Lonchura striata: one gene and its partners. The protein of the gene in region 1 interacts with the protein of each later gene in a pairwise test. Links are inferred from orthologs where the notes say so. Each region holds a gene or a part of one and is shown on either strand. Other genes may lie near its edges. The genes, in order: PACSIN1, ANKRD24, COBLL1 and COBL.

Evidence for each region.
Region 2: the proteins of PACSIN1 (region 1) and ANKRD24 interact in a two-hybrid assay, tested with the Homo sapiens proteins (2 studies listed by BioGRID and IntAct). The link is inferred for Lonchura striata from reciprocal best matches to the Homo sapiens genes PACSIN1 and ANKRD24.
Region 3: the proteins of PACSIN1 (region 1) and COBLL1 interact in binary tests that used the Homo sapiens proteins (3 or more experiments, as listed by UniProt). The link is inferred for Lonchura striata from reciprocal best matches to the Homo sapiens genes PACSIN1 and COBLL1.
Region 4: the proteins of PACSIN1 (region 1) and COBL interact in binary tests that used the Homo sapiens proteins (3 or more experiments, as listed by UniProt). The link is inferred for Lonchura striata from reciprocal best matches to the Homo sapiens genes PACSIN1 and COBL.

Annotation. Positions count from the first base shown.
Region 1 is NC_134632.1:4,264,815-4,271,967, forward strand, and holds the start of PACSIN1 (protein kinase C and casein kinase substrate in neurons protein 1), read left to right. Parts: upstream 1-4,150; 5' UTR 4,151-4,302; intron 4,303-7,153. Other genes in the region: RPS10 (small ribosomal subunit protein eS10), read right to left, coding at 1,610-1,781, 2,376-2,525. UniProt on the Homo sapiens protein: Plays a role in the reorganization of the microtubule cytoskeleton via its interaction with MAPT; this decreases microtubule stability and inhibits MAPT-induced microtubule polymerization.
Region 2 is NC_134630.1:6,746,342-6,754,297, reverse strand, and holds the start of ANKRD24 (ankyrin repeat domain-containing protein 24), read left to right. Parts: upstream 1-4,952; 5' UTR 4,953-5,023; coding exon 5,024-5,095; intron 5,096-6,058; coding exon 6,059-6,189; intron 6,190-6,271; coding exon 6,272-6,360; intron 6,361-6,656; coding exon 6,657-6,721; intron 6,722-7,039; coding exon 7,040-7,097; intron 7,098-7,174; coding exon 7,175-7,245; intron 7,246-7,427; coding exon 7,428-7,534; intron 7,535-7,610; coding exon 7,611-7,798; intron 7,799-7,956. Other genes in the region: SIRT6 (NAD-dependent protein deacylase sirtuin-6), read right to left, coding at 174-301, 1,639-1,704. UniProt on the Homo sapiens protein: Component of the stereocilia rootlet in hair cells of inner ear.
Region 3 is NC_134610.1:18,264,638-18,272,021, reverse strand, and holds the start of COBLL1 (cordon-bleu protein-like 1), read left to right. Parts: upstream 1-4,373; 5' UTR 4,374-4,499; coding exon 4,500-4,502; intron 4,503-5,983; coding exon 5,984-6,057; intron 6,058-7,384.
Region 4 is NC_134603.1:68,806,057-68,813,083, reverse strand, and holds the start of COBL (protein cordon-bleu), read right to left. Parts: upstream 3,004-7,027; 5' UTR 2,894-3,003; coding exon 2,850-2,893; intron 1-2,849.

The DNA of each region.
Region 1 (7,153 bases):
TGCACTTGGGGTGTGAAAAGCCACCAAGGGAAAATCAGAGCTGCAAGCCCCACACACAGAATCACAGAGCAGCTGGGGCTGATCTGGAGCTCACCCTCTTCAAGCCCTCTCAAGGCAGGGTCACTCAGAGCAGTGGCACAAGAACGTGTCCAGGTGGGTCTGGAATGTGCCCAGAGAGGGAGACCACCACACCCCCAGCTGCTCCAGTGGGAAGCTCTTCCTCATGCTGAGGTGGAACTTGCTGTATTTTAGTTTCTGGTCACTGCTCCTTGTCCTGCCACTGGGCAGCGCTGAAGGGAGTCTGGCAGCATCCTCTGGTACATGCCCTGGGCAAATCTGTGGGGATTTGTCTCCTCTCCTCCAGACTAACAAGGCCCAGCTCCCTCTGTCTCTCCTCACAGAGGTGCTCCAAACCCCTCAGCATTTTTGTGAGCTCTGCTGCTCCTCCACCACGAGTTTGCTGTTCACCTTAAACAAGGACCTGGTTGTATTCCTGTGGGAAATGGCTTTTTCCCCACCAGAGACCCCTGTAGCTGTAACCATGTTAGTTTAACCTTTCCTTCCTTTCTTGACCTAATTGGCTGAGAGCCAATTATATTTTCATGAGCAGGAGTCTAGACAAGGCTCTGTTCTCCCTTGTTCTCCCTTTTTCTCCCCTGGAAACTTTTGAGAATAAAAGTCTAGGACTACATTGGGGGTTAGAGCTTCTTTTGGAATCTTTTACCTTGCCCCTGAAATATTCCCCCAAAGCCTTCTCAGATCTGGGCTGTCTAGCAACTCCAGGGTGCTGTGGGGGTAAATATTTCAGGAGCCCTGTCCCAGGAGCACCTTCAGTGTCCCTGGGGAAGGCAGAGTGGGACACCCACCACTGGCCACAGGTGATGCCCAGGTGGGGCTCCAACATCTCCTCCACATCCCCATCCCATTCCTTGGGGAAGGCCAATCCCTGGGGTGGGACACAAACCCCGACCACATTTCCTTGCTCTGCTCACGATTTTACACCCAATCCCCACAGGTCTGGCACTGTCCTGGCTGCCCAGCCCCCTGTGCCCACCCCTGGCTGCCCAGCTGAAAGAGAGGAAAAATGTAACAGAGTAGAAATTAGAAATCCATTTAGATTTAAGTGAAATGTACCGCTTTGAGCTTGGTACTGAGTTGAGATGGTTTGAGTAAAATATGCTGTTTAGTCTAGTAACTGCAACACTAATAAAACTACCCCAGCTAAAGAAAAAAAAAAAGACAAATTTCCACACTAAAAAGATAAAAAATAAGAAAGACTCCTCAGACCTTTAAACAAGCAAAGTGACCCAAGAGTTCTTTCTATACTTTCTAACAAAAACTAAATACGAGTGTAACTAACTAGAAATGTAACACGAAATCAACAAAATGAATATGCATAAACCTATTTTTATATAAAATTCTATTACTATGCACAAACCTATTGTAAAATTCTATGAGTATAGAAATTAATAAGAGCAATAAAAATCAATGAAGTTATCAAAAGCGAGCCATTAAAGAACAACAAGTCCCCACGTGCGTCCAGCACTATAAATAAATATTGAAATGATGGAGTTTGAATTTTCCCCCACGTTTCCCAGCCCCAGCTGACCTTTGGGCCGGGGTCTGCCGGTCTCGGGGCGGCTGCGGCGCAGCGTGGCCGGGACGATTTCGGGGGGCAGGTGGAGGTAATCCCGCAGGTACTGGATGCCCTCGTTGGTCAGGTACCAGTAGAAGTGTCTCCAAGCAAACTGCTCCTTCACGTAGCCTCGGGACTTGAGGGACTGCGGGGAGAGCTCCCAGTTACTCCCAGTTCCTCCCAGTTCCAGCCTCTCCCAGCTCCTCAGCAGGGAAGGGGGACAGAAGGCAGTGAGACAGAGTGAAAATTGAATAAGGTAAAAATCTATTCAGATTTCAAGAAAATGTGCCACTTTGAGCTTGCTAAATATGCTAAATAAATTTAGTCTAGTAACTGCAGCCTAGCAAAACTACTAACACACTTTTGCACACTAAAAGATAAAAAAGACTCTTAAGATCTTAAAACAGACACGGCAGAGTGACCCAAAAGTTTTTGTTAGAAAGTATAGAAAAAACTAAGTACAAGTGTAACTAACTGTAAGTATAACGTGAAATCAGCAGAATGAATATGCATTAAGCTATTGTAAAATTCTATGCATAGAGAAATTAGTAAAGGAAATAAAAAAAGATCAACAAGAGTTGTCAGAGGTATGCATTATGTCCATTAAAGGGCAATGAGTCCCAACATGCTAAACATACCCATTCCCTACAAATCTTTATTAGAATGATGAAGTTTAATTTTTCATTCACATTACAATGGTGAAGTTTAATTTTGCAGCAGCAGCAGCAGAGCCCCCCACCTGCATGGCTTTCATCACGTGCAGGTTGGGCACGTTCTTGTCCACCAGCTCGGGGTGCTTGGCCATGTGCACATCCTTCTTGGCCACCATCACGCCCTCCTTGAACAGCAGCTCGTAGATGGCGATCCGGTTCTTCTTGGGCATCAACATCTGCAGGGGGCACAGCAAAACGGGCTCGGGGACCGGGAACCGTGCTGGGCCACCCCGGGACGCGCTTCCCGGGAGGGAAACCGGGAAATCCCAGCGTTTCCTCCGTAAATCATCCCGCGCACCCCCGCCCGCTGTCGGGCACACCGGGCAAGGTGGGGCAGGCTCGGGGAGAGCCCGGCTTGGCCCCGCCGTTAAGTGCAACTGAACCAGGGAACCGGGAGCCGGAACCGACACCGGCAGCGCCCCCAGCACGGGAAATCAGCTACGGGCGGTGCTCCCGGACCCACCGGGCCGGGGCTGTCCGTGCTCGGGCACGACCGAACCCCCGCGGCAGCGGCCGGGGTGGGACGCCCCGGTGCCAGCGCCGGACACCCAACCCCACCCCGCGGCCCGGCGCCGCCGGTCCCTTTCTCCCCGCACAGCCGGGGCGTGGAGCCCCGATGGGGGAAGTGCGGCGGGGGGCCCCCAGACCCCGGGATGGCGGCGATGCGCGGCCGATGGCCCGAGCGCGGCCTCACCGTGGCGGCGGCGGCGGCGGGGCCCGGCCGGAAAGGACTGCGCGTGCGCCGGCCCGCCGCTTCCGCCGCGCCAAGGACCCCCTCGGCGGCGGGAGGGGGCGCCCGCCGTGCTGCCTGCGCGGAGAGCAGGCCCCCTCCTGCCCGGGGAACGGGCTGCCCGCCGCGGTGCCTGAGGGGCACGGCGGGTGACCTCCGCCCCCGCGTCCCCACTCGTGTCACGCCTCCCACACGTCCCCACCCGTGCCATCCCCAGCCGTGTCACCCCCCACGTTCCGGCTGTGTCACTCGGGGCTGTGTCATCCCCCACGTCCCCATCCGTGCCATCCCCGGCCGTGCCACCCAAAGCTGTATCACCCCTGGCCGTGCCACCCCAGGCCGTGCCATCCCCCACGTCCCCGGCTGTGTCACCCCCGGCTGTGTCACCCCCCCACCCCCGTCCCCAGCCGTGTCACCCCCACCCGTGCCATCCCCACCCGTGTCACCCCCGACAATGTCACCCCCACCCGTGGCATCCCCACCCGTGTCACCTCCGGCCGTGCCATCCCCAGCCATGCCACCCAAAGCTGTGCCACCCCTGGCCGTGTCACCTCCGGCCGTGCCATCCCCAGCCATGCCACCCAAAGCTGTGTCACCCCTGGCCGTGTCACCTCCGGCCGTGCCATCCCCACCCGTGGCATCCCCACCCGTGCCACCACCACCCGTGTCGGCCCCGGCCGTGCCACCCGCAGTCCCCGCGGTGCCCGCTGTCCCCCGCCGTGAAGCGCTGCCCGGGACCCCGGAGAGCCGCGGGTCGCAGCCCGGCCCGAGGGCTCGGGGCTCCCGCAGGCACCGGGGCGCTCTGCTCCGCACACACCGGCCCGGGAGCCGCGATTCCCCCGACCCCGTCCGGGGCTGTGACCGGAGCCGTGTCCCCTGGGGCGCACCCCGTGTCCCCCCGGTGTCCCTCCCGTGTCCCGCTCCGTGTGGGGTCCGGGGGGAGCGGACACCTGAACACCGCGGGCACTCGGAGCACCGGAGCGGAGCCCGGGGACCGCGGGAGGGACCGCGGCGCCCCGGGGTTTATCGCCATCCCCTCGGCGGGCGCGTTGTCACCTTGCGCGGCCGAGGAGCCGCCGCGCCGGGGATTGGTCGGCTAAAAATGCCGCCCTAATCTCCGAGCTGATCTTTACCCCCTCCCTCCGCCCCATCTGCCGCGACCTGCCCGCGATGCGCAGCGCCGGCCCCGGGAGAGGCTCCGCCGCTGTCCCCGCGGCCCCGAGGTACGGCCGGCGGGGCGGGCGGGGGGCGCACGGCTGGCCCGGGGGGCACAGGGGGATGCCGGGGACCGGGGCGCTGTGACAGCGCTGTCCCCGCCGGTGTTTGAACCGGCTCCGCGCCCTGCTTTGGGAAACCAACCCGCGCCCGACCCGTTCTAAGTGATTCCCGACCCGTGCCGGACCGTGCCGGGCGGGGAACGGGAGGGATCGAGGGATGCGCCGCGCTCCTGGAGGTGCCCGGTGCCGTCCTGGGGCTTTGCTGGGTGTCACCCCCTCGTTTCTTCCTTTGGGACGGAGGTGTCCCACAGGGTGACCCGCAGGATGCTGCGACAATCGCGGCATCAGCCGGCCCGGCCCGCGGAGCAGGAGCTGTCCCCGCCGGCCGGACACGCTGTCGCTGTCGCTGCTGCAGCAGATCACAGCTCCTGCACCTCCTGCCTTGGAAATGGCAAAGCAAGTGCTTCGCTAAACGGATTAGAGCTCTCCCGGCAGCCTCCCCGGCTGCTCCCGCATCCCTCGGCCCCCGCGTCGCCTTCCCCGGGCAAACCCCAGCCCTAATAAGCCAAAAGGCCGCGGCCGCAGCACGGCAGAGATCAGCCGCTGCGGCTGCCAGCGCGCCTGACCCCGAAAATGAAGCCCTGAGAGTCCTGCCACCTCCTGGGGTTTTGTGTTCCCTTTGCAGGAGCACAGAGAAAATCGGGGAATTCAGCAGGCAGCGGCTCGGCCGGTGCTGGAGGTGCTGCCTGCCCCGGGGTCGCCCCTGGCCGCTTCCTCTCCCTCCTCTCCCGGGGTGTGCGGCCGCCGGAGGGGCTGCGGCAGGACGGGAGCGGGATTGAACCGAGAAAGGATTGAGGGAAGAGAGCCCAGGCACAGGCAGGGACCGACAGTGACGCGCACAGGGCAGGGCCACGAGGGAAGGGACATCAGCACAGCGTGGCAGCACCGAGCGGGGCTGTCCCGAGCCCAGAGCCTGGGCTGGGCTCTGGGTGGGATGCCCCTCGCTGGGAATGGCCTGTCCCCAGCTCTGCCGGTCCCTGCCAGGGCACGGCGATGGCACAGGGATAGAGCCAGGCTGCACCAGCACAGCGCGTGGCACGGGGACAGACTTTGTCCCGGGGATGCCAGCCTGGCCGGCGTTTGTGCAACACCTTGAAGGCAAACTCCGGACCTGCTGAGCTCCTGCGGATGGTGCTGGAGGAGGAGAGGCCGCCTCCAAGCCGGCAGCTTGCAGGGGCTGTGTCCCGCACAGCCGGCGGGGCCGGAGGCAGCGAGCCCCAGCACGGCTGTGGCCGTGGGTGGAATGTGCGGGCTCCTCGGGCAGCTGCCCGCAGCCAGCCCCGAGCTGCTTCCCTGGGAAAAATGGAGCCTTTATGTCCCGGCCCCAGCCCCTTCCCCGGAAGGGCTCGGAGGATGCCCCGGCCGGTCACAGGCAGACAAGAAGGGAATTGTTTCGGTGGGATTTGGGTTTCTGGGAGCACCTGCCCCGCGCGGGGCCCTCCACAATGGCTGCCTGTCTGCCGCAGAGCCGCCAATTATCCTCCGCGGCTAATTAGAGATGCAAAGTAGCGCTTGTATTCTCCCAGCTCCCCGGAGGGCTCCTGGGACCGGCGGCACATCCGCAGCGGCGACGCAGCCCGGGCATGGGGCGAGCGTGGGGCGCTGGCCCCATCCGGCCCCCCGAGCCCCAGCTGCCCTGGGAGGAGGCAGCGGAGGACAGGAATGGGCTCGGGATCCTGGGATTCCCTCTGCCCCCATCCACACCAGTCTTCCCTGGACCGCCCATGGGCTCTCCCGTGTCTCCCAGAAGCAGCTGAGCCCCATAGCTCGGGGCTCTGCCGGGATTTAGGGAACACATTTCCCTTCCTTGCTGGGGAGCTGGCTGCGCTCAAACCCCCCCCGGTTCGTGCGAGGGCCGGCACTCCTGCCTGGCTGATGGGCAGGCGGCTGATTCCTGGTGGCATCTCCTCATTCCTGCCTGCTCTGGCTCCAGCAGCCGCCGGGATCACCGTGTGGGCTCCTGTGCTCCGTTTGTGCTCACGGAGCTGTAATTCCAGAGCGGCAAGTGGCCCCATAAATCAGGGCTTATTTCCTGCCAATACCGTCTGCTGCTTCCCACAAGGAAACTCATTTACAGGAGGAGAAGTGACTTACCACTGAAAACAGTAAACGGTGGGATGGTGAGAGCCGGGGAAAAGTTTGTCGTGACCGAGTTTTTGGTGAAGGAACTGAGGAGGCAGAGCTCCCACCTGCTCCCTGCATGGAGCAGCCCAAGCTGCAGGGAAGGAGACCTGAGCTGGTGCCACCTGCGCAGACCACAAAGCTGGTGGCGATGGCTCTTTGCACTGGGGAACCCCCCGAGTCATTGAGGTCCCCCCATCACCATCCTGGAGAGCGTTTGTCACCTGATGTTTAATGCCAAGGATCCCTCTGCAGCAGGGATGCTGATGGTGCCTGGGACATCCCAGTGCTGAGAACTGCCAACTCACTGCTTGGAAGGACCATGACCAGATATTCAGCACCCTCTGAAACGCCAACAGGCAAAGATCCCCCGCTCCTAAAGGAACCAGCGTCCATCCCACTCCTCTTTGGGACTGGGGACATTAAATCTCCGAGGTGTCACCCCAGCTGCAGCAGGGCGTGAAACCTTCCGGGGGCTGTTCTGGCTGGCCCTGATGGGGGCTGGCTCGGGTGGCACGGAGCTGCGAGGAGCCGGGAGGCAGGCGGGCTGCAGAGCCCCACCGAGCTTCATTAGGCAGTCGAAGGAGCTTGTTAGGGGAAAGCTGAGCCGGCGTCGGAGGCCGGCAGAGCCCCCCGGGACCGGGTCGCATTCTCTGGGCAACCCGATCCCGGCGGC
Region 2 (7,956 bases), on another chromosome or scaffold:
CAAACAATGTGGGGATTCTGTGGCAACAGCTGAGATGTGCAAGAGGGAAAATGGTGTTTGCAGCTGGATCCAGGACGGACAGCAGGAATGGGGCGGGTCTGGGATAAATCAGAGCTTTCCATGAAGGAAGATGGACCTGGAGGAGGTGCCACCCTGCCAGCCCTCGGACTTACCTGAAGTCAGGGATGCCCGAGGCCGTGCTGATCCCTGCTCCTGTGTGGAACACCACATGGGAGGAGCTCCGGATCAGCTCTGCCAGCTCCTGCACCTTCCGCTCCAGCTCCTCCGGAGGGTCAAAAATCTGGGAAAACACAAAAACCAGCATGGGATGGAGAGATGTGGGCATGGATTATATGGGGAAGGAATCCTTCCCTGTGAGGGTGGGGAAGCGCTGGAATGGATTTCCCAGAGCAGCTGTGGGTGCTCCTGGATCCCTGGGATGTCCAAGGCCAGCCTGGACAGGGCTTGGAGCAACCTGGAATAGTGGAAGGTGTCCCTGCCATGGCAGGGGTGGCACTGGATGATCCTTCAGGTCTCTTCAACCCAAACCATTCTGGGATTCCATGATTCTAGAAGCCCAGTAACCCACAATTCTTCCTTATCCATGAATGATTTTGCATTCCTTAAGGACAGAAACATTTAATAGGAGAGACTCCACGCTGCCTGGAGCATCTCGCTGCAGGGACAGGGCTGGGAACTCCCAGCACCAACAGGGAGTTTGCTGCTCTGGCTGGCAGCTGGCCCAGGCTGGGCTCCAGGAGCCACCCGGGGCCACCCCACATGTGCCCCACTGTCACCAGCAGTGCCACCAGCTCTGGGGACAGGGCAGGGCCGAGGGACAGCGAGGGACACCAGATGCTGGTTTGGGCACGGGATTTAATTCCTGAGACACTTCTCCAGCCCCATCTCTGGGGACGGGGACGAGGACAGGACCCTGTGTGTCCCTGTCCCCTCACCATCCCCTGGGCTCAGGACGGGCTGCAGTGTCCCTGTGGCTCCCCTCAAACCTCGTTTTAGGCTTCCCAAACTGCTGGGGCTCAGGGGGGACACGGAGGGAGCCAAGGGGGCTGTGGGGGCAGAAGGAAGGACCAGGGTGGGGTCAGGGAGGCCATGGAAGGGGACATGGAGAGGGGACATGGAAGGGGACATGGAGAGGGGAAATGGAGAAGGGACATGGAGAGGGGACATGGAGAGGGGAAATGGAAGGGGACATGGAAGGGGACAAGGAGAGGGGATATGGAAGGGGACACGGAGAGGAGACATGGAGAGGGGATATGGAGAAGACACATGGAAGGGGACATGGAAGGGGACATGGAGAGGGGACATGGAGAAGGGACATGGAAGGGGACATGGAGAAGGGACATGGAAGGGGACACAGAGAGGGGCCGAGGGAGCCGGGGGCGGCCTGGGGGGACATGAGGGGGACCAGGGAGCCATGGGGTGTCGGGGACAGGCACCCAGGGAAGGGGGACGGGGAGGGAGCCGCGGGATGCGCTCGGGACACACGGCGGGCTCGGTGCCCGCTGGGTTCCCGAGGCCGCGGTTGCCATGGGGACGCGGCGGGCCCGCGGGAGGCCCGGCGGGCGGGCGGGGGCTGCCCCGGGCGGGCGGGGACGGCCCCGGCGGTGCCGCGCTCACCTCGGGGAGGCCGCACTTGCCCTTGTCCGAGTACGGGGACAGCCCGGCCGCGTAGCTCACCGCCATCGGCGCGGCCGCCGCGCGGCGGAAGAGCCGGGAGGGGCCGGGCCGCGGGACCGCCCCGCGCCGCCGCCGCCATCTTGGAGCCGGGCAGGGCGGGGCCGCGGGACCGCCCTGCGCCGCCGCCGCCATCTTGGAGCCGGGCAGGGCGGGGCCGCCCCGCGCCGCCGCCGCCATCTTGGAGCCGGGCAGGGCGGGGCTGCCCTCAGCGCGGCCGGGGCCGACCGGGACTGCCCGGGACCGACCGGGACTGACCCGGGACTGACCGGGACTGACCCGGGACCGACCGGGAGTGACCGGGAGTGACCCGGGACTGACCGGGACTGACCCGGGACTGCCCTCAGCGCGGCCGGGACCGCCCGGGACCGACCGGCAGTGACCGGGAGTGACCCGGGACTGACCGGGACTGACCCGGGACCGACCGGGAGTGACCGGGAGTGACCCGGGACTGACCGGGACTGACCCGGGACCGACCGGGAGTGACCGGGACTGACCCGGGACCGCCCGGGACCGACCCGGGACCGACCGGGAGTGACCGGGAGTGACCCGGGACTGACCGGGACTGACCCGGGACCGACCGGGAGTGACCGGGACTGACCCGGGACTGACCGGGACTGACCCGGGACCGACCGGGAGTGACCGGGACTGACCCGGGACCGCCCGGGACCGACCCGGGACTGCCCTCAGCGCGGCCGGGACCGACCGGGACTGACCGGGAGTGACCCGGGACCGCCCGGGAGTGACCGGGACTGACCCGGAGTAACATGGGACTGAACCGGGACCGCCCGGGACTTGACCGGGAGTGACCGGGACTGCGGGACACTGCCCCGACATTGACCCGGGACTGACCCGGGACTGCCCGGAACTGAACCAGGAGTGACCGGGACTAAACCGGGACTGACCCGGGACCACCCGGGACTGAGCGGGAGTGACCGGGACTGAACCGGGACTGACCGGAGTGACCGGGACTGAACCGGGACTGACCCAACACTGCCCCGGGACTGCCCGGGACTGCCCTGGCACTGCCCCGACATTGCCGGACACTGCCCCACCTGCACTGAACCCCTGCCCGGGGGGACACAGGATGGGCAGGGGTGCCAGGGATGGACAAGAGGTGCCACCAAGAGCAGGGGATGCCAAGGAAGGAAGGAAGGAGGGACAGGGGGTGCTGGCAAGGGCAGGAGTGCCAGGGCAGAGCAGTGGCTACCAGGGAAGGACAGGGCGTGCTGACAAAGGCCGGGATGGCAGGGAAGGACAGGGGTGCCAGGGAGGAGCAGGGGTGCCAGGGAAGGACAGGGGTGCCAGGGAGGGACAGGGGTGCCAGGGAGGAGCAGGGGTGCCAGGGAGGAGCAGGGGTGCCAGGGAAGGACAGGGGTGCCAGGGAGGGACAGGGGTGCCAGGGAGGAGCAGGGGTGCCAGGGAAGGACAGGGGTGCCAGGGAAGGACAGGGGTGCCAGGGAGGAGCAGGGGTGCCAGGGAAGGACAGGGGTGCCAGGGAAGGACAGGGGTGCCAGGGAGGGACAGGGGTGCCAGGGAAGGACAGGGGTGCCAGGGAGGAGCAGGGGTGCCAGGGAAGGACAGGGGTGCCAGGGAGGAGCAGGGGTGCCAGGGAGGAGCAGGGGTGCCAGGGAAGGACAGGGGTGCCAGGGAAGGACAGGGGTGCCAGGGAGGAGCAGGGGTGCCAGGGAGGAGCAGGGGTGCCAGGGAAGGACAGGGGTGCCAGGGAAGGACAGGGGTGCCAGGGAGGGACAGGGGTGCCAGGGAGGAGCAGGGGTGCCAGGGAAGGACAGGGGTGCCAGGGAAGGACAGGGGTGCCAGGGAGGGACAGGGGTGCCAGGGAAGGACAGGGGTGCCAGGGAGGAGCAGGGGTGCCAGGGAAGGACAGGGGTGCCAGGGAGGAGCAGGGGTGCCAGGGAGGAGCAGGGGTGCCAGGGAAGGACAGGGGTGCCAGGGAGGAGCAGGGGATGCTGACAAGAACACGAGGTGCTGTCAGAACCAGGGGCTGCCAGGGTGGGGAAGGGGATGTCAGGTCAGGACAAGAGGTGCCACCAAGGGCGGGGGGTGTTTGGGATGGGCAAGGGGTGCCAACCATCAGAGCCCAGCCCTCCCCAGCACCCCAGGCCGTGTCCCTTGTCCCCAAACACGGCCCGGCCCGGCCCCCCCCCGCCTGCCCGGGGCTGTAACCGCAGCCGCGGCCGTAATACAATCCCCGGCTCCGGTTCCCGGCTGCGGGCGCTGCGCTGGGAACGCCAGGACGGGCTGGGAGCAGCGGGACCGGGGGCGCTGAGCTGTCCCCAGGCAGGGACAGACCCTCCTGGAGCGTGGCCATCCCTCCCGAGCAGCTGCCACGGGGCTGAGGCTGAGCCACCATGAAGAGCCTGAAGGCCAAGTTCAAGAAGGCAGATGTGAGTGCCATCCCTGGGGACATGGGGACACGGTGACCTGCTGCAGGGTGTCTGTGGGGACACGGGGATCTGCTCCAGGGTGTCTGTGGGGACACGGTGACCTGCTCCAGGGTGTTTGTGGGGACACGGGGACCTGCCCTGGGACACGGAGTGGTCGCTCACAACGGGGACAGCAGTCCTACAGAAGTTGGCACTGCCACTCTGGCTGGTGGGATCAAGCCCCCAGTGCACCCCCTGTGCTCCCAGAGCCATCGCTGGGAGTGGGGCAGAGCAAAGGAGAGGGAAGCAGATCCCAGGTCCCCTCCCTGTCCCCCTCCTGGGGACAAGTGCCACTTTGCCAGCTGCCACAGCCCGTGGAACCAGCCTGTCGATGCTCCTCAATTATTCAGCAGCAGCCTGGCATGGGGCCGCAGAGGGCAGAGGGGGACAGCGCTGTCCCCAGTGCACTGGGAGGGACACAGCAGGGGACATGGGGACACAGCTTGAAGCCCCTCACCCGGAGTCTGTGGGACCATCCTGCTCGGGGCGCTCCATGCCTCAGTTTCCCCACACTGCCCTGGACACGTCCCTGAAAGGCTCCCGATGTCCTGCTGCCAGCGGGACTGCCCGGACAGCGTCTGGGGACCCTCTGCGTTTCGGGGTTCCTCCCTGGAGGTGTTTGGGGGGTCCCAGGTCCCCCCATCGGGGGCCGGGAGGATGCTCAGGATGCTCAGCCCTGCCTGGGAGCCGCTCCGAGGCGGGATGCAGGGATGCAGGGATGCAGGGATGCGCTGAGGAGGGAGGGAAGGAGGGAGGGCCGGGGGCGGAGGAGGCGGGTCCGGCTCCCACTGCCGCAGCCCCGGCCCCCGCCCGGGCGGCGATGCCGGAGCGCTCCGGGCTCGGGGGTGCCCGTGCCGGCCGGGGCGGGGAGCGGGGGGCGCATGGCGTCCTCCCGCCGCCTCCTGCTCAGCACCATGAAGCAGATCTGCCTTTGTGCCGCCGCCTCCTTCGCGGTACGTCCCGCTCCCCTCCCGGCTCCCCTCTGCTCGCGTCCCGCGGGCTGAGCCGTGTCCCCCCCGCCCCACCTGCACCCCACATCCCCATCCCCATCCCGGGGCTCCCCGTGTCCTCCCCATCCTGCTTTGTCCTTGCCTGGCCAGGGAGTGGGGGGAGCGGGCACCACCCTCCCAGTTTGCCAGGAGCCCTGGGAGACTGGTTTGCTCCCTGTGCCTGGTCCCACCGGGCTGGAGGGGCTCGGGGGCACCCGGCGGGCACAGGCGGGTTTGGGACAGGTGCCAGCGGCTCCCGAAAGGTGACATCCATTTCCTGCCACCGCGAGCGCAGCCAGCGCCGCTTTGTCGTCACGGGCTGTGGGGTGAACCCGGGACTTGCAGTCCCTGTCCTGGTCCTGTCCCACTGCGGGTCCTCCTTCGGGACAGGGAGCACCGGGAGAGCAAATCCCAGCCAGCTGCGGTCCTGTTTTGGGGGGCACAGCGCTGTGCCCCGTTATCCCGGGAGGCTGGGGCATCCCTGGGGATCTGCTCTCGCTGCCAGCTGTGCTCGCCCTGGTTTGATCCCTTCCTCCTCCGGGAGCAAAGCAGGGCTGGGAATGGGACTCCCATGGGTTCTGACTGGGTTTAGTACTGGGATTTCAGGGTGGCAGGGGCAAACCCCTGTACAGTTGGGCTCAGTCCCAAATCCCAGCCTGGCACAGCTAAACTGGGCTGTGTCTGTAAATCCCCCACTCTGTGAGCTGCAAACTGGGGGACTGGAGGGGATTTTCATCCCAATCCCTGCTGAACTCTCCGTACCTGGGAGTGAGCTCGGAGGAGAGGGGGACAGACACGGCCACCCCCAGGGACAGGGCTGGAAGGGGCACAACAGGGCTGGGGACAAGGAGAGCCAGCCCAGCCCAGCCCTGGGGACAGCACTGTCACAGCTGACACTGTCACAGCCTCCTCTGGGCCCTGTTGCAGAGCCAGGACTGGACCAAGAACGACGAGAAGCTGCTGCAGGCCGTGGACTACAACGATGCCGGGCGGGTCACGTCGCTCCTGCTCCGCAAGGGCCTGGTGCCCACCAAGCTGGACGCGGAGGGCAAATCCGCGTGCGTGCCAGGCCCTGCCCTGGGGACACGGCTGGGGACAGGGGACATCCTCTGAGTCCCTCAGCCCCTGGTCTCGCTGTAGGTTCCACCTGGCCGCCACGCGGGGCAATGTGGACTGCCTGGAAGCAATGCTGGCCCACGGCGTGGATGCCATGACCAAGGACAGCTCGGGTGAGGGCATGGCCACCATGTGCCCCTGCCTAATGCCATGGGCCACACAGGGCCACTGGTCATCCCCAGGTGTTGAGGATGAGGGGACAGAGGTGGTGGCCACACCTGGGGGGCTGTAAATTGTCCCAGTTTCCTAAAGGAGCTCTATTATTGCTTCATGAGCTCCTGGGGTCGTTCCCTTCCTGTTCAGCCCCATTCCAGCAGATCCTGCTTTGTGCCTGTCTCTCTCTGTCCCTAAGCTGTCCCCTCTGGCACAGCCCTGCTGGCCATGCTCTGACCTGTTTGTCCCTTCCCAGGTTACACTGCCCTGCACTTGGCCTCCAAGCACGGCCACCCTCAGTGTGTCAGCAAACTGCTGCAGGTACAGGGAGAGGGAGGAGGGACAGAGGGAGGGAGGGAGGTGCTGTGCCAGCACGGTGTCCTCCCTGTCCTTGAACCCCCTTCCCTCACCAGTGCCAAGGCATGGTGGTTCCCAGCTCTGTGCTGCTGCCTGGCACCAGGGAGCCACAGGGGTCTGTCCCTTGTCCTTCAGCACAGCGTGGAGCCAGAGGGGGTTGGTCTGTCTGTCCCTCTCCTTCACCACACCACAGAGTCTCTCAGTCCTTCATTGTGCCACAGAGCCACTCGAGCAGTCTGTCCCTCTGTCCCCCTCCTCCCGTGACCCAGGCTCTCCCCGCAGGCCTCCTGCCCCGTGGACGTGGCCGATGGCAGTGGCCGGACCGCGCTGCACCTGGCGGGTGAGTAGGGACAGTGCCAGCCCTGTCCTGCTCACGTCCCCGTAGGGGCAGCGCTCAGCCTCTGTCCTTGTCTGCAGCTGCCAGCGGCTGCATCTCCTGCTCCGAGATCCTCTGTGACTTCAAGGCTCCCTTGAACAGCAAGGACAAGGTGGGGTCACACTACTCCTGGTCCTGCTGTGCCAGGCTGGGGCTGTCCCAAAACACAGCACCGCTTGGGGTGGGATGTGGAAATTGGGGTGGGACGTGAAAATTGAGGTGGGACGTGAAAATTGGTGTGATATCGGGAGGATCTGAGTCTCCTCTGCTCATCCTTCCCCCTGCCATGCCCAGGACGGCTCCACGCCGCTGATCCTGGCTGCCAAGATGAGCCACTCGGAGCTGTGCCGGTACCTGCTGCACCGCGGGGCCGCCGTCAACTGCCGGGACCTGCAGGGCAGGTGGGGCAGCAGGGCCGGGGCCCGGCGGCGGCCGCAGGGATGGTTCCCTCCTCACCCACGCTCTCCCCGTGCCCAGGACAGCGCTGATGCTGGCCTGCGAGAGCGGCAGCGTGGACACCGTGGAGGTGCTGGTCAGCGCCGGTGCCCGCGTGGCCGTGGTGGACGCCACCGGCCACGACGCCGCTCACTACGGGCTGGCCACAGGCAACGTCCTCATCCAGCACCTCCTGCAAGAGGCGGCCCAGCGCCGCTCCTGGGCCAGCGGTGAGGCTGCCGGGCCGCCCCGGGCTCCCTGCCACCGTCGGACAGGGCTGGCAGAGGCTGCGGGGATGTGTCCCCTTTTCCTGGGTGTTTGGGGCTGCCTTTGCCTGTGCTGTCCCCAGCCTCTGCTCTGAGCTCTGAGCCTCTAAATCTCCCCAATT
Region 3 (7,384 bases), on another chromosome or scaffold:
GGGACTTCTGCATCATAGGTTTTGGACTCATCCTTGGAGGATTATGACGATAAGGGTCAGCTGTCTTAAGTTTTTACTTCGGCAGAATCATAAGATGGTTTCACTGAACATTACAAAACTGGCTTGGCATGTGTGGTTAGCTTATGCTAAAAAAGCATGCCATACAGATAGATATTTTTGTCTCTTTTGGATTTTTTTAAAATCATGTAGCACTTGGTTGTTCATGTGAAAGAGAATATTTGTGTTCTAAAAACAAATGACACGCACACAGCTGTGTAGCCAAGTGACCCAGAGAAAATGAGTTCCCATGATCTATGTGAATGTGCAAGTGATGGGGACCAGAACTTGTTCTTTGTCCAGTAGTTCAGTTGTGCCTGGCCTCAAGGGAACATGGAGTCATGCTCCTCATCCTGTTAACTTTCGATGGGAATGTAAGAATGTGCTTCACAGTGCTGACTAGGAATAGTTGTCTGCAGGGTTTTGTTTGTCTTTTTAAAATTTCTTCTATCTAAATTCTTGTGGGTTGTGCAGAAATTTGGACTAAATACTGATTTAGGAAGAGTGTTAAATTGTGTGATACTGCTGTTTTTACAAACTGGACATAAATGTTTTGCATTGCAGTGACAAGAGCTATACAGGCATTTATTTTCTGTCCTTTATGTTTTTGAACAAATACTTCTGTTCAAGGATAGTTGAAAAATGAAGGGAAGTATTTAGTAATCTGCATAAATAATTAACTTTGAAGTTCTGAGATACCTAAGATGTGAAAACATAGATTATATTTGTTTGGGTTTTTTTGTTCCACATTGGGTGAGACAGGGCTAGGATTGGTAGAATCCTCTCTTTGGTATTTAATTTTATGAGTCAAAATGTGACTGTTTCTTTTTTATTTTTTCCATTGTGGGATTGTACGTGTGTGTGACCTCCTGTCTAGAGCTGAAAATTCTGTAATGGCATATCAGAGACAGAGTGGTATTCCAGTTACTAATGTCCAACTAGGAAAGCTTAATGCACTGGCTAGTTTCTGCTGTCCAGAAGCATTATTCCAAAGCTGTGAAAAATATGCACAAATTAACTGTGAGCACTAATGTGCCTTAAATAAGGAAATTAAAAAAGCAGAAAAAACCATAATTCAAATAAAAGACATACTGGTTACTTCCATATGTCTTCTAAGAACAGTTTCCTCAAAGTTCATACTTTTAAGGATATGGCCTTGATGAACAATGTACCTACTTCCCAAATTTGTCCACTTTCATTTAGCTGTCGATTAATAATGGCATAAGTGTCAATAGAGGGACACAGACTAGTCTGTTGGAAGAATATTAGATTGCATCCAGTGTGTCCATTTTTTGTTTAAATAGTTACTCTATTAGAATTGATGGAGTTCACTTCCATTAGTTGCATTCAGCACATGACCTTGCAGTGTTGTATGTAAACAGTATCATAGCTGATGTTGAAGTGATGAAGTGACTGAAGTGTTCGAAGTACAGTTACTCAGTGTCTACACACCAACAATTCAGTAGAACCCCTTGCTCTCCCATTCCTAGAAGAGGAAATAATAACAGACAAATCTTGATATTTCCTTTGAGTTTTGTGGTTGGCTGGTGGTTTGTTTTGGTTTTTTTTGGTGATTTTTGGGTTGTGGTTTTGTTGGGTTTTTTTTTGTATGAATGGGAGGTGCCTTAATTACTTTTTGTATTAAATACATGATTCTTAAGCAATATTGACACCAGGCACTGATGTTTTGGCACCAAAATTAATTTATTTTTTCCAGGTCACTAACTTTTTAATTTAGTCTTTGTGAGGCAGAAACCCTTTATTAGCATGTGGAGTGCTTTAGTATGAGTCCGCGAAGTATACAAATACATGCTCAAATCAAATTTATATAGCTTTGGCAATCAATACTATTGCATAATCATCTGCCTTATCTAATGTTAAAGTCACAGCTATATTGGCATATGTTTTTGTCCATAAATTAATGTTATCACATCTAATAGCAAAATAATCTCCATATATAAATAGTTTTAAAAATACAGGGAGCAATCTCCTAGCAGGAAGACTGTGTTGGCAGTTGGAATAGTTGCCAGTCCACTCTTGAACTTCTGTCTGAGGGAAAAAATTTAAACTTTCTATTTTTTTAGAATTCTTTTCCTCTGGAATTAGAAAAACGATAGCAAATGAATTGGAGTTCTAATTTATTATGGTGCAACTGAACAAAAATACAATATTTGCTTATTTTCGATTGTTACTGATTGTACTTTCAAATTGAAAACTTAAATTGATCTAGGACTCGAGCAACTAAAATGGCTGTTCATAGTCATATAGTGTCTATTAGTTCAGAATCTACTGAAATACCAAATTTATACTTTGAAGGGATTTTTTGTTTTAGAAAGTAGAAAGTAACTTGCGATCCTGGATGACTTCCAACTCTCCTTTGAAAATTGGTTAGTTCACTAAATGAACAGGAATAGTACTTTTTGCAACTGTTTCTGCTTTAACTGAAATAGCTGAGATTTGAAATTTGAGAGAGAAGAAGCCAACAAAGCAGATTAAACAGACTTGTAAGTTTAGTTTTGAATTACTACTGTGCTAGTCATCTAGTTTGGATGAAATTAAGTATGATTCTTTTATATATGAGAAGGAAAGTGTTTTAAAAGCATATGATAGTTTTGAATGCTGTCTTAAGACTTTTTCGTATACTTTTTTAGAAGTTAATTCTGTCCTTCCTTTCAGAGGGAGATCTGTTTGAGATTTTGCCATCTCAACATTAATAAAAAGTCATGGTATAAAAAAAATTCTTTAGCTTTTCTGTGAAAATGCACATGCTTTGGAAAGATTTTTTTCTTAAATTGCTTCAGAATGAACTGACAAACCTAAAATAGTTATCAATTCCTAGCCTGTCTTTACAATAGCATTCTTGTGTTAATATTCTTAAATACCATTTTATTAATTTATAAAATACCCAGACATTTCTGAAGTAGGTGCCTCTTTTATGATGTGATTTATATTCTAGGGATAGTTGTTGCTGGAAAATACATTTGAAGGAAAACTAAAAAACCCCTCCTGTTTTATACAGATGGGATTAGATACGCTCTGATTTGTCTGGAAAAGAATAAACAGCCAAGTAGTTTCAAAATACATCTTACTTGCAGTGCCACCCTGTGGCTTTCCTTTTCATGGCTTCTATTAAAGCAACTGGTTTTTGTTGTCTCATCCCCAGTGGGAAAGTTACTTGTGAACTTATAAAATAAAATGTCTGTGCTCCTAGCTGTAGACCTGGTCTAACCAGGATAGTACAGCACTTTTTTTTTTTTTTTGGCCTATCTTTAGCATTATTTGTCCTTGCTGAAACCTTCTTAGATTAAGAACCAGAAAGAGAATTTCTGAGCAATACCAGTTCATTCACCTAGTGGATCAAATCACTAAGCAATGCCTGGTTTGGTCATTGAAAAGGAAAGATCACACTGGAACTGGAAAGCAAATGTGTCACTTCTCAGCAGTAACTTGAAGGGCTATAATAATTGGTCTTGTTCAGTTCCAGCAATGTTACATATGCAAATATTTTATTTCCAGGTAGTCAGTTTTCTAGACAGATAGTTTAACTTTAAAATTAGATTGTCTAGGTAGACACAATACTACTTGTGGAGATATTTTATTTTGTATTCAAGACGTCTGCATTTTTGTTGATTTAAACTGAAGGATGTCAGAGCAACTTTGCTTTTAAAAGCAGTGTTATGCTTTGAAGTAGTAGTGCTTTGCCTTGCACCATTTTACAGAGTTGCTCAAATCGTGGCAGGATAAGTACTTGAATGCTTAAGACTGGTTTTCACATATAGGAAGTAATATAATGTGGAAGATATTTCACAACAAGCAAGCACGTAGGAAGTAACTTTTCAGCGCTACCCCTGCTTGGCATATCTTGGAGACGAAAAGCTTTCCTTCCTCACAGCCAGCTTAGGTTTAGTAACATCTCTAAATGAAAGGCAGGGTTTTACTTGTCTTTATTTTCTTGCTATTACTCTGTCAGGGAACAGCAGAACAGCCCTGCTGCCCAGGTGGGAGCAGTGACATCCCTGCCCAGCGGGGGCCTCGGCAGCATTCCCTGGGCTTACGGCCACTGCCCACCACCTCTCCCCAACACCCCTAATGCTGGCCTGCCACTCCCTGGCGCTTGGATACGTATTTGAGTCGGTGCTCTTAGTGTTGTAAGAGTCGTTATTGTAGCAGTTTGACCATGCTTTCAGGATTTTCTAGCTGCAGAAGTGTTCATTTGAACAAAGGACGCTTGCCACGCGTGCTGTGCGGTTGGGCCGCTGGCGCTGCCCGGGTTCAGTGCCTGCCCCAGAGCCGCTCGCGCTGTGCGGAGGCCGGGCGAGTGACTAAGGGACAAAGCAAGTCTGGGCTGGCAAAGCCGCAGCAGGCGTTACTGAGACACCTCTGCCTTCTGCGTCCTCACTGAGCGCTCTGTTTTCAGCAACAGAAATGAAAAATGTCAGACCATGGTAAGTCTCAAGCTATATACTTTCAATGTGTCTAGGCTTTTTTTGATAAGCAAGTGCTTACATTTGTCTCCTAATTACAAAAGTTATACTTGGTCTCTTTTGGGAAGTGAATGCTTCTTTTTCCAAATTAACATATTTTGTGTGTAAATTGTAAGTAGACCTGTATGAACGTGTTATCTGAGCTCTTGCAGAACCTTAAAACCAGCAGTGGAAATATCTGATGCTACAGTCCATACTCGTAGTTGTACTGTTTGTTGGAAAGTTTTGTAGAAAACGCTGGAAAGTGAGAGATAAAAATGCAGTTTTCTTCTTTCAGTGTTGTCAGGATGATTCCATTCTTTGTAAAGCAGGCTTATGTTTTTTTATTATATTTATTATAAATGCAGTGTGTATTTAAGCAAGATGATGAACAGAAAGCTTACACAGAAACAGTTAAAAACTGTACTTTATTTTTGTCAAACAGTTTTGAGTGTCATAATACTTGCAGTTAAATACACATTTTGGTGAGTCTGGATTTCCACATAGGAACAACCAAAGGTAGAAGTGGATTTGAGCAACAGGGACAGAGAAGTTTTTGATTACTTGTCTTTACTTAGGAAGCTTGTTTGGTCTTTCTACTGCACATCAAGCTTCTGAGGTAGTGGTAGTGTGTAAACTTAAGTGTCTGTGATTTAAGTTGCAGACACTTATATAATAAGTGTATTAATATTATAAATATATTATATTATTGCAGAAGTCCTTCAGGCTTCAGGCTGCTCTAAATTGCAATGGAAGGAACAAGTTAATTGTACTTTAGATTTTGGGTTTTGTTTTTAAAATGACTCAGGTATAAGTCATGGACAGTTCTGATTACTCCTTAAAACAGAAGACAGACTATGGAAATGTTCACATAAATGTGCGTTCTTTTGTATCACAGGTCCTGACTTGAGTCCTTCCTTTATTAGAATTTTGCCTGGCACAATGTTTCCTTCAGTACTACAGATCACAAAAGAACTGTAATTTTTTTCTTAAGAAAGTTTATTTCAAAACTTGTATACTTGTATCAAATTCTCATTAGTCTTAATTTTAAATAAAAGCCCTGTTAGTGTTTCTAGTGGCTTTTCACTAGGAAAGAAAATTGCTGCTTGCTCTTGAGAAAGTGAAATTCATGGCTGTGCTGTAAGCCCTGCCATATCCTTTTGATAGGTACTTAAAAACCCAAGGAAAAAAAATTTTGATACATTCTGTTCCTTGGATTCTGGGATATGCTGTCTCTAACTTGGACTGTTTGATGTTTTATAGGAAAAAATAGTGCCAGAAATAGTCACTTACTGTAGCTGTTTGCCTTTCTGTTGGAGGCTTGCAGTGTTTACAGGGCTACAGTTAAACACTGAGTCATAAACACTTGGTATATTGTATTCCTAAATTCAAAACTAGATAATGCAGATAAAGCAGACCAAATGTTCTGTGACTGTAACCATAATAATGTAATGCTTTTCTAGCAGCACATCAAGACAAGACTCCTGGAAACACTGGTGAACTTGCTGTGGTATAAGAGGCCTATTACTGCTACTGAGTAAATATATTCCTTTCTCTCTCTCTTCTTTTTCTATTTTTTTCCCTTTTGCATTTTGTAGAATTTCAGTGTTTATAGTCCACACAAATGGAAGTGTTTGAATATTTGTATCACCCCCTCTTTTAATCTTTTCTGGGTAGGTAGAAAATCAAGGGCATGGTCCAGTTACGTGAACAGCTTTTTAAGAACTTGGAATTTATTAGTATACAAAATTTTGTTAAGCATTTCTATGCCATTACACAGAGCAGAAGTCTGCACAGGCAGTACAGCACTGTGTGATGAGCTGAATGCCCATGCAGTGAGGGACAGTTACGGAGCAGATTATCTGGAGTGATATCATGTGGCATGTACAGGACACCCAGGGGATCTGTCAACCAACATGGTTTTGGTAAAGGTAGGTTCTGCTTGACCACCTTATTGTACTTCTGTGACAAGGTCTAGTGGATATTGCTTCCCTGGGCCTTACCTGGCCAGTAAAGCTTCTGATACCATTTCCTATGGCATTCTCCTGGGAGAATCTGTGGCTGCTGATGGCTTGGAGGGATGTACTCTCTGCTGGGTCAAAACCACATATAATAGAGACTGAATGCACTTGCACTTCTTTATATTAACCTAGAATTAGGGTTTGAAGCAGAGAAAACCAAATGAGCCTTTAAAACATTTTTTTGGTACAAATAACATTTTCATCATGCTGACCTGTTGCGTTTTACCTTCTTTGAGGTATTTTAAACTGTTTTGTAATGGTACCATATAATCTCTGCTTTATCTAGAATAAAGACTGTATTTTGGAAGGCATATTTCCTTATATTTTTTTTCTTTGTTAATTTGAGCTTTCTTCTAAAGAATGATAGAATTCTCAAACATGATTAGCTGCCCCTTCCAGAAGCTGGTGTAGTACACTCCCAGTCTCTGATACTGATACCAAAGATAGATGCTTATCTGAATTAAGAAGGTTATGTGCGTGCGTGTGTGCGTTAAGAAAGAATCGTATTGTTCTTCCTCATTCCTGTCTTGTGGGTAACAGGGAACCTGAGCCATGTTCCTTCCCACACGCCATCTTTGTAGCAATGGACTTTTGCTCCCCAGACAGCCTCTTACCCCTCTGGAATGAAGATCCTCACGTAAATCAGTTTCAGCTTCTGTAAAACAAAACTCTTATCTGAGTTGTTTGATTTCATCATTAAAATGGGGAGGACTTTCTATACAGATTTTAGTATTTATCCTTGTAGTACAATTAACTGTATAATTTTTCCATTGTCTTGTGTTCACTTCACTTTGAAGAAGTACCTAAACTCGCATGACAAAGTTTATAACTGTAATATAATAA
Region 4 (7,027 bases), on another chromosome or scaffold:
CATTGCATAATCACAGAGTAAATTGTCATTTCTACTGTTGCTACTGATTGCCTTAAATTCACTTTTGTAAACCAAAATAAATGTTCATTAAATAAAGCATTATGAACTAGGTAAAGCTTCTAAAAAAGTTATGCCTAGCAATCAGTAATAATAAAATTATTGGTTCTGAAATCTGCAATTTTTTTTGAAACTGAAAAATTGGAAAATCCTTGCAACACCAGCACAAATTGCAGTTTTTCCTTTGCCATTTAAAACAAAACAAAACAAAAAAACCCACAAAACAAAAACCCAACAGTATCCTTCATTTAAATGTGCACCTCTCAAGGAACTGTACCGTGGAACACACATAATCAATTTATCTGTGTAAGCACACAGCAGAGCTGCTCTACCCTGCACAAAATGATACATTAAATTTGTTCACTGTTTAACAAAGGAGGGTCACAATGTTGCTGTTAATGATTACATAAAGACAAAACACCTCTGCCTAAATTTTTTTAAAATTTTGAAGCTACGGTCATTTTAACCTTCCTTTCATAGCTGCAAGCTAAGCCAATCAATAAGCTGGAAACTTGTATAGCATGTCTTCTGCCATGAAAGGAAGGTATTTCTGTCACAACGGCCTTAGCAGCCAGAGGTCCTCAGCCGCACTCCACAGATGCAGTACACGCCTGGATTCATATGGAAACCGAAAAGGACAAAGCTGTACTTTGCTGCACTTTCCTGACCCTAACAGATTTCATCAATGTGTGAGTAAAATCTGATTAGGGATCAAGCATCCACCAGTGTCCATTATGGATGATAGAAACTGAGGGAATTATGAACCATTCAGTGAAGTACTCTGCTAACAGCGCAGACACATCCAGGCTGGGAAGGTCTGACTTGGAAGAAAAGGCAACACAAAGTAATTCAAGGATGAAATGAGCTCAGATAAAACAGGCAGTCACCTCTTGGTGCACATGACAGTGTTGCCATCAGCTTCCACATGAGCAGATTAGCACCCACACACTTTGTTATACAATATCACAAGTGCATCTTCACCCTACGGCTGGATTCGTCTTCTTGAGCCATGTCAGGAGCAACATGACTGAAGTTAATGCAGTTACCATAACTTCTATTCATGCATGGGATTTCTGGGTCTGTGTGGCTGCGGACAAGTTGACACAGATGAAACTGGTTACAAAAGGATTCAGGAGTTTTATTCAGAAATGCCCACAGGCCCCAGTGGTCCTCTCTGAAATGCATCAATGACATGCCTTCCCATTGCAAATTAAATTTTTTTAATGAGTCTTTGGATACCTAGCAATCAAGACAAATTTTTAGTCAGCACTGCATTACTCTTCAAAGCACACATGTAAATTGGCACCATAGATCTCCTCTTCATCAGGATTTTAGAAAGCAGCTATACTATTACATCAACTAAATACAGAGAGGGGGAAGCACCTTACATCTACCACTCTTCCTGGAAGATTAGCCTAAAAGGTCACGATCAAACAGGCTCAAGTTCAGCTGGAATTAAGCATTTTATTTACAAAAAGAGCAGCAAACTATGTCATACTCTGCACGTCAAAGAAACATGGTACACACTGTTTCATTACCACGGCACTAGCAATGGCATCTTTTCTTCACTTGTTGCTCCCTATACTGCTTTCTGTGTACACTACAAGGTTCCCTATTAAACACAAACTAAGGAAATGAAACTGAACAAAACTACTGTAGCCCACTAGCACGTACTTTGAGCTATTTCCTACTTTGTTGAAAATAAATTTATGATATAAATATTAGAACTAAAAATAAAAAAAAAAGCTGCTGAAGCACTCACAGTCTCAGTCTGCACAGTGTGAAGTAGAGCAGTAAATTGCAGCGAGCAGACAGCACAGCTCTTAAAACTTGCCCAGCTTTTGCTCTGACAAAAGAGATCGCTTAGGACCTCATCGTGCTGCTGCTCTCGTCGTTTAATTAACGGGCTAACAAATTCCATTGCTGGCATATCTTCTACTTGTCTGTTCTCTTGAAAAACCCCTAACCCTCCCGCGGTTTGCACTCGGGCTGACCGCTACTTAGCAATAGTGCTGCGAGAACGGTGTCTGTCACCCAAGGCAGGAGGTACTAGGAGTAGCCACCGCCGTCTCCCACCAACCTCGGACAATTTTGGGCACTTTTAATTCGCGGTTGGCAGTGCTCTTCCTTCCTCTGCCGCAGCCGTGAGGTAGGGCTGAGACCCACGTCTGGGACAGCTGAATAAACCTTTCAAAGGCTTTTGGCAGCTGAGTCCTAGAGCTGGGGCAGACGGGGCGTATGGGTGAGAACCTCTGCGGCCGCGGGGGCTCCCCGGACCCTCCGCCGGACCGGTCTGCCCGGAGCCCCGCCGCAGCCCCGGCTCCCTCCCTGCCAGTGTCCCTTCCAGCCCCGGTGGCCCGGGTCGGGAGCTATAAGCAGCGGCTGCCCTTCGTCCCGCAGCGCCGCCCCGAACCACCTCCTGAAGGGAACAAGTCCCGACCCGAACCGGCTCTCCGGTCTCGCAGCCGGAGGGGCCGCGCCGGCAGCCGGGCCGGGGCGCCCCTCCCGCAGGGCAAAGGCGAAGCAGGCACGTTCTCCTGCTCCTGACCTTTTTGCACCCGAGCTCACCGCCCTGCCGCCTCCTGCTCCCCGCCGTGCCCCTCCGTCCCAGGGCTGTGCTCCGAGCGGGCCGGACGCCGACACCTGCGCGCCCAGAGGGGAGCGAGACAGGCGGGACGGAGGGAAGGCACCGCGGCCCGCCGGCCAGCGCGGCCGCTGTCGCCGTCCGGAGCCGCTCCCGCCCGTGGAGAGGAGCGGCGGCCGGTCCGGCCCGGGTCCCGGCGGGAGCTTACCCGGTGGGGGGTTTGCTGGCCCCGGGGCGCACGAGGGTCTCCATGGCCGGGCCCCCTCGCCACTTCTCAGAGGACGGGCCGGTGCAAGCCGCGATCCCGGCAGCGGCGAAGGTCGGAGGCGGGGGTACCGAGAGGGAGGGAAGAGAGGAGAGTACGGGAGTGAGAGCCGCCCTCGCCCCCACCTCCCCCGCTCCCCGCCCCGCTGCCAGGCGGCACTGCCCGGCCGCCGCCGCCCACGGCTGCCCAGCCCGGCCGCGGGCTGCGGGCGGGGATGCGCTGCCGGGGCGGCCTCTGCCCGCCTTACCCGGCCGGCAGGGAAGCCACGCCGCGCCGCGGGCCCTGACACCCGGCCTGCCCGGCCAGACCGCAGCGGGGCACGGCGGGGCGGGAGTCAGGCGGCGGAGCTGCCGGCGCGGCGGGGCTCGGCCGGCCGCTGCCCGGGCAGCGCGGGGGCGCGGGGGCGCTGCGAGCCGGTTTCCACGAGACTGCCCGGCACAAACGCCAGCACGGCGGTCGCCCCCGCGGGCACTGCCAGGGCGGCCGCCCACGCCGCCCACGGCACGGCGTGGGAGAGGAGCGTATAGGATAACAGGCGGGGGAGAGGAGCGACAAACCCCCGCCGGCGCCAGCTCCCAGGACCCTCCTCCGTCTCTTTTGCCACGAACTTGGCAAAACCCAGAGCTTGTCAGGCGAGTGTGCCCGAGACTAAGTCCCGCCGGGAGCGGAGGCTTTTCATCAGCCCCACACCCTGCCCAGCCCTGGCTCTGCCACCTAAGGCCTGTTTCTCGTCACTTCTGTTCGTACAGGGACATGTTTTTCTTCTCTCGGAGGCGGCACACACAACTTTTAAAATTAGCGGCATCTGTGGTCAGGCAGAGGGGCTGGAGGGCCGTGGCACGGCAAGGCAGGCTTCTCCCCAGCTTTTCCTCCTGCGGAACGAGCCCAGCATGGGAAAAACAGCCCCACTTCCCGTGCGGTGCAGTGCGCACAACAGCACAGTCTTCGTGGAAACGTGGGCATCGCGTTAAAATCTGTGTGTGTCGTTTTAGGAATATCCCCCCTTATATCATTTTCCCAGAATTCGACTGCTACACCTGTGTGTAAAAGCAAAACCAGACTGGAGGTGGGGAAGTCTGGCTGGCAGTACTGCTCTGTGTGTGTGTCCTCAGCCCAGCGTGCCCGGCGTTGGACAGACTGGCTTCTCCAGGTAATTCAGGAGTTTCTCTGCTCCTCACCATTTGTGTCATCTTGCTTTCCTGGCCACGGTGGGAGGATGGCAGAGGCAGGTCAGACCGGCTGAGTGAAGTTACAGTAAGAAACCTGAATGAGGATCTGAGCTTTTGCCTTACCTGGCATTTCACCTGGCTGCCTTGTTCTGCTTAATGGTCACCTCTTTCCTCAAACCCTTCCATCCCTTCAGTCTTGAGCTCATATTTCTGCCTACTGTGTTCATCAGAAAGTGTCTTGCCCAGCTCAGTAACCACACAGAGTAGATGTAAGCAGCTTCTTTGCTTCCAAAAGCGAGAGCTGCTTCCTCAGCTAGCAAGACTTGGCAAATACGGGTGCATGTGGCTGAAGGCATTGCCATATGCAAGAAAACCCCATCCCAGGAAGATTGAAAATACTTCAAAACATTCAGATAATTTGCAAGTAACAGAGGAGTGAAAGACAAGTTCATCTTTTCTGGAAAACTGGAATATCACTGTAAATGCCCACTTTTGCCTACCAAGGCTTTTGCATTATACCAGATTCTGTGTATTTACCCCAGTGTATAACATAACTCTTCTTGTGCTATAATCATCCTTAACTTTATCTTCTCTCACTTTGACAACCTCAAGTCTCCCCCTAATTCCTATCTCCTCAGCAGACATCTAAGAATGCTGGCTTCCATGCCCTTCTTCCTCTCCAAGCCCACATGTGCAGGTACCTGTGGGAGGCAGCTGCCTGTCCTAGTTGTATGTAAAGAAACAAAACCACAAATTTGCAGAAGCAAAACATTGATCTCTAATTTCCTTGTTACCATGGGTAGAAGTTGACTGAGTCACCACAGTTCAGTAATTACCCTGGTCATCTGAGATACATGCCGCAGTAATGAACCACATGCATGATTTTAATTTGCACCGTTATGAAAATAAATAGGCTAGGCTACATAATTTATTTTGCATGTGGATTGGTTCAGCCACTGCATGCTGTCAGTTTCCATAGCTGCAGGAATGAATGGTCATCTATTAAATCACGTGAGCTTGATTTCACAGCTCTGTTCATCATCTGTTCAGTCATTTTTCGTCTCCTGGTTTTTTTTCCTAAATCTTAATGTACTCTTCCCTATTCTAGAACAGTTGCTAAAGCTGCACAGGCACAAAAACCTCTGCAGAAACACCCAGATGTTTCCCCATTTTCATCATTAGCAAACTACACCAAAAGGACTTACTTTGACTCAGCTGTAACTTCTAACCTTATATAACTGAGCAGAGGTGTAAAGTACAAAACACTCAGACTAGTACTTGCTTTTTATGTTCCCTTCTTTTTGTACAACATATCAAAAGAGTGAAAGCCTATTAATTACCAAACTCATGATCTTGTGTCTCCAGAGCACCCATGGGGCCAAGTGTCCATGTCCCCCATTCTTTAGTCACATATATCTGATGGAAAAGCTGAGTGAAATGTGAGGAGTGCACTGTGTGATGCAACATGGGAATCTGTTTTTTCTAGACTGCTTGGCACTGAGTGTCCCTCTTAAAAAGGGCAAAGGGGCTATTTCTAGTGTGCATTGTAATCCCCACAACTGGGGTGCTGTGCTGCTTTGTTAAGGCAAAGGGCATTAGTTTGGAGAGGGGCTGTATGAATATTTGCCAATGTCATAAAATTGTGACATTGGCATGTTTAGCACTCCCAGTTTGTTTAACCCTTTCCTGTTTGTAAAGCTTCATCTCTGTTTCAATGGGCCTCTTCAATATATTTCCTTAGCAAATCAATTAACTTGGATGATAAAATCCTTGTAGTAAAATAGCTTAGGCCTTTACAAATAAAAAATAAAAATCAATGATGCACCAGTGCAATTTCACATTTATGCCTTTTTAGAGTTTTCAAAATCTTATTCATATTTTTCTCTACCTTCGCTGCTAGTAGTATTACTGAATCAACCTAATAAGGCTACATTTTTCTTCTACTAAAACTAGCCTGCAATATTTCAGGAATTTGAGTTTGTAGTATAAACGTAACTGAACATGTAAGGAATCTAGTAAGACAAGTCTAATACCAAAGAATTTGTTTATATAGCAAAAAGAGCTTAAAATTAGATCAGCATTAGCTAGTATGCACCAGTTAACCAAGTCTTTTCTCTAGTCCAACACATAATATTTTTTTATGATTCAGCTGTTTGAGGACCATCACAGAATTGGAAATCAGGTTTGAGCCTAAAAACCAAAGCAAAACATAACAACCCCAAATTTATAGCAGGAAGAAATTGTGAATAGAAGTTAGTTATTGTGGTTAGGTTCAGTTAATAGCAAACTTTTTAAACCGCATAAGTCTTTTTCCCATTTGAAGCAATCTAGAAGTTGCAATTTAAGCATTAGCCCCTGTAAGAGAGTTGACTTACTGCACAATTGTAAAATTCCTGGCTATGTAATTATAGCAATTGGAGTTGTGTAGCCTCAAGATCACAAAACTCCTTTATTTTGCTATCCATAGTGAAAAGGAAAAAAAGAAACAGGAATTTAGATTTTCAGGGATTGCTAGGCCTTTTCCTTAAGTCCCAGAGCTCCCATTCTTCAAAAAACCATGGAGATGAGAGGATGCGTGATGCAGTCCTGGCCCAGCACCAACAATCACAGGGCAGAATGAGCACCATCATGCCATGTAAAAATAATCTGGAAAGGGAGGGTCCTTTTGTCTAAGAGAGTATTTCAGAACACATATGCAGGGTGGGAACATGATGTACATTAAAAGAGATGGGGAAATGGTTTAAACACATGATGTGAATAGAACAAGTGAAGTTTCTGTGAACAATGCATTAAAAGACATTAAACAGCCACCAGGACATAAAAACTGGGTTATTTTAAATGTGGCTAAAAGTGGATACAGCAGACAACCACATAACCTGGACTGAAGCTGATCGCTATAATACAGTGATGCAGTCTTGAGTGTAAGAATCATAGAATTTTGGGGATTTTGTT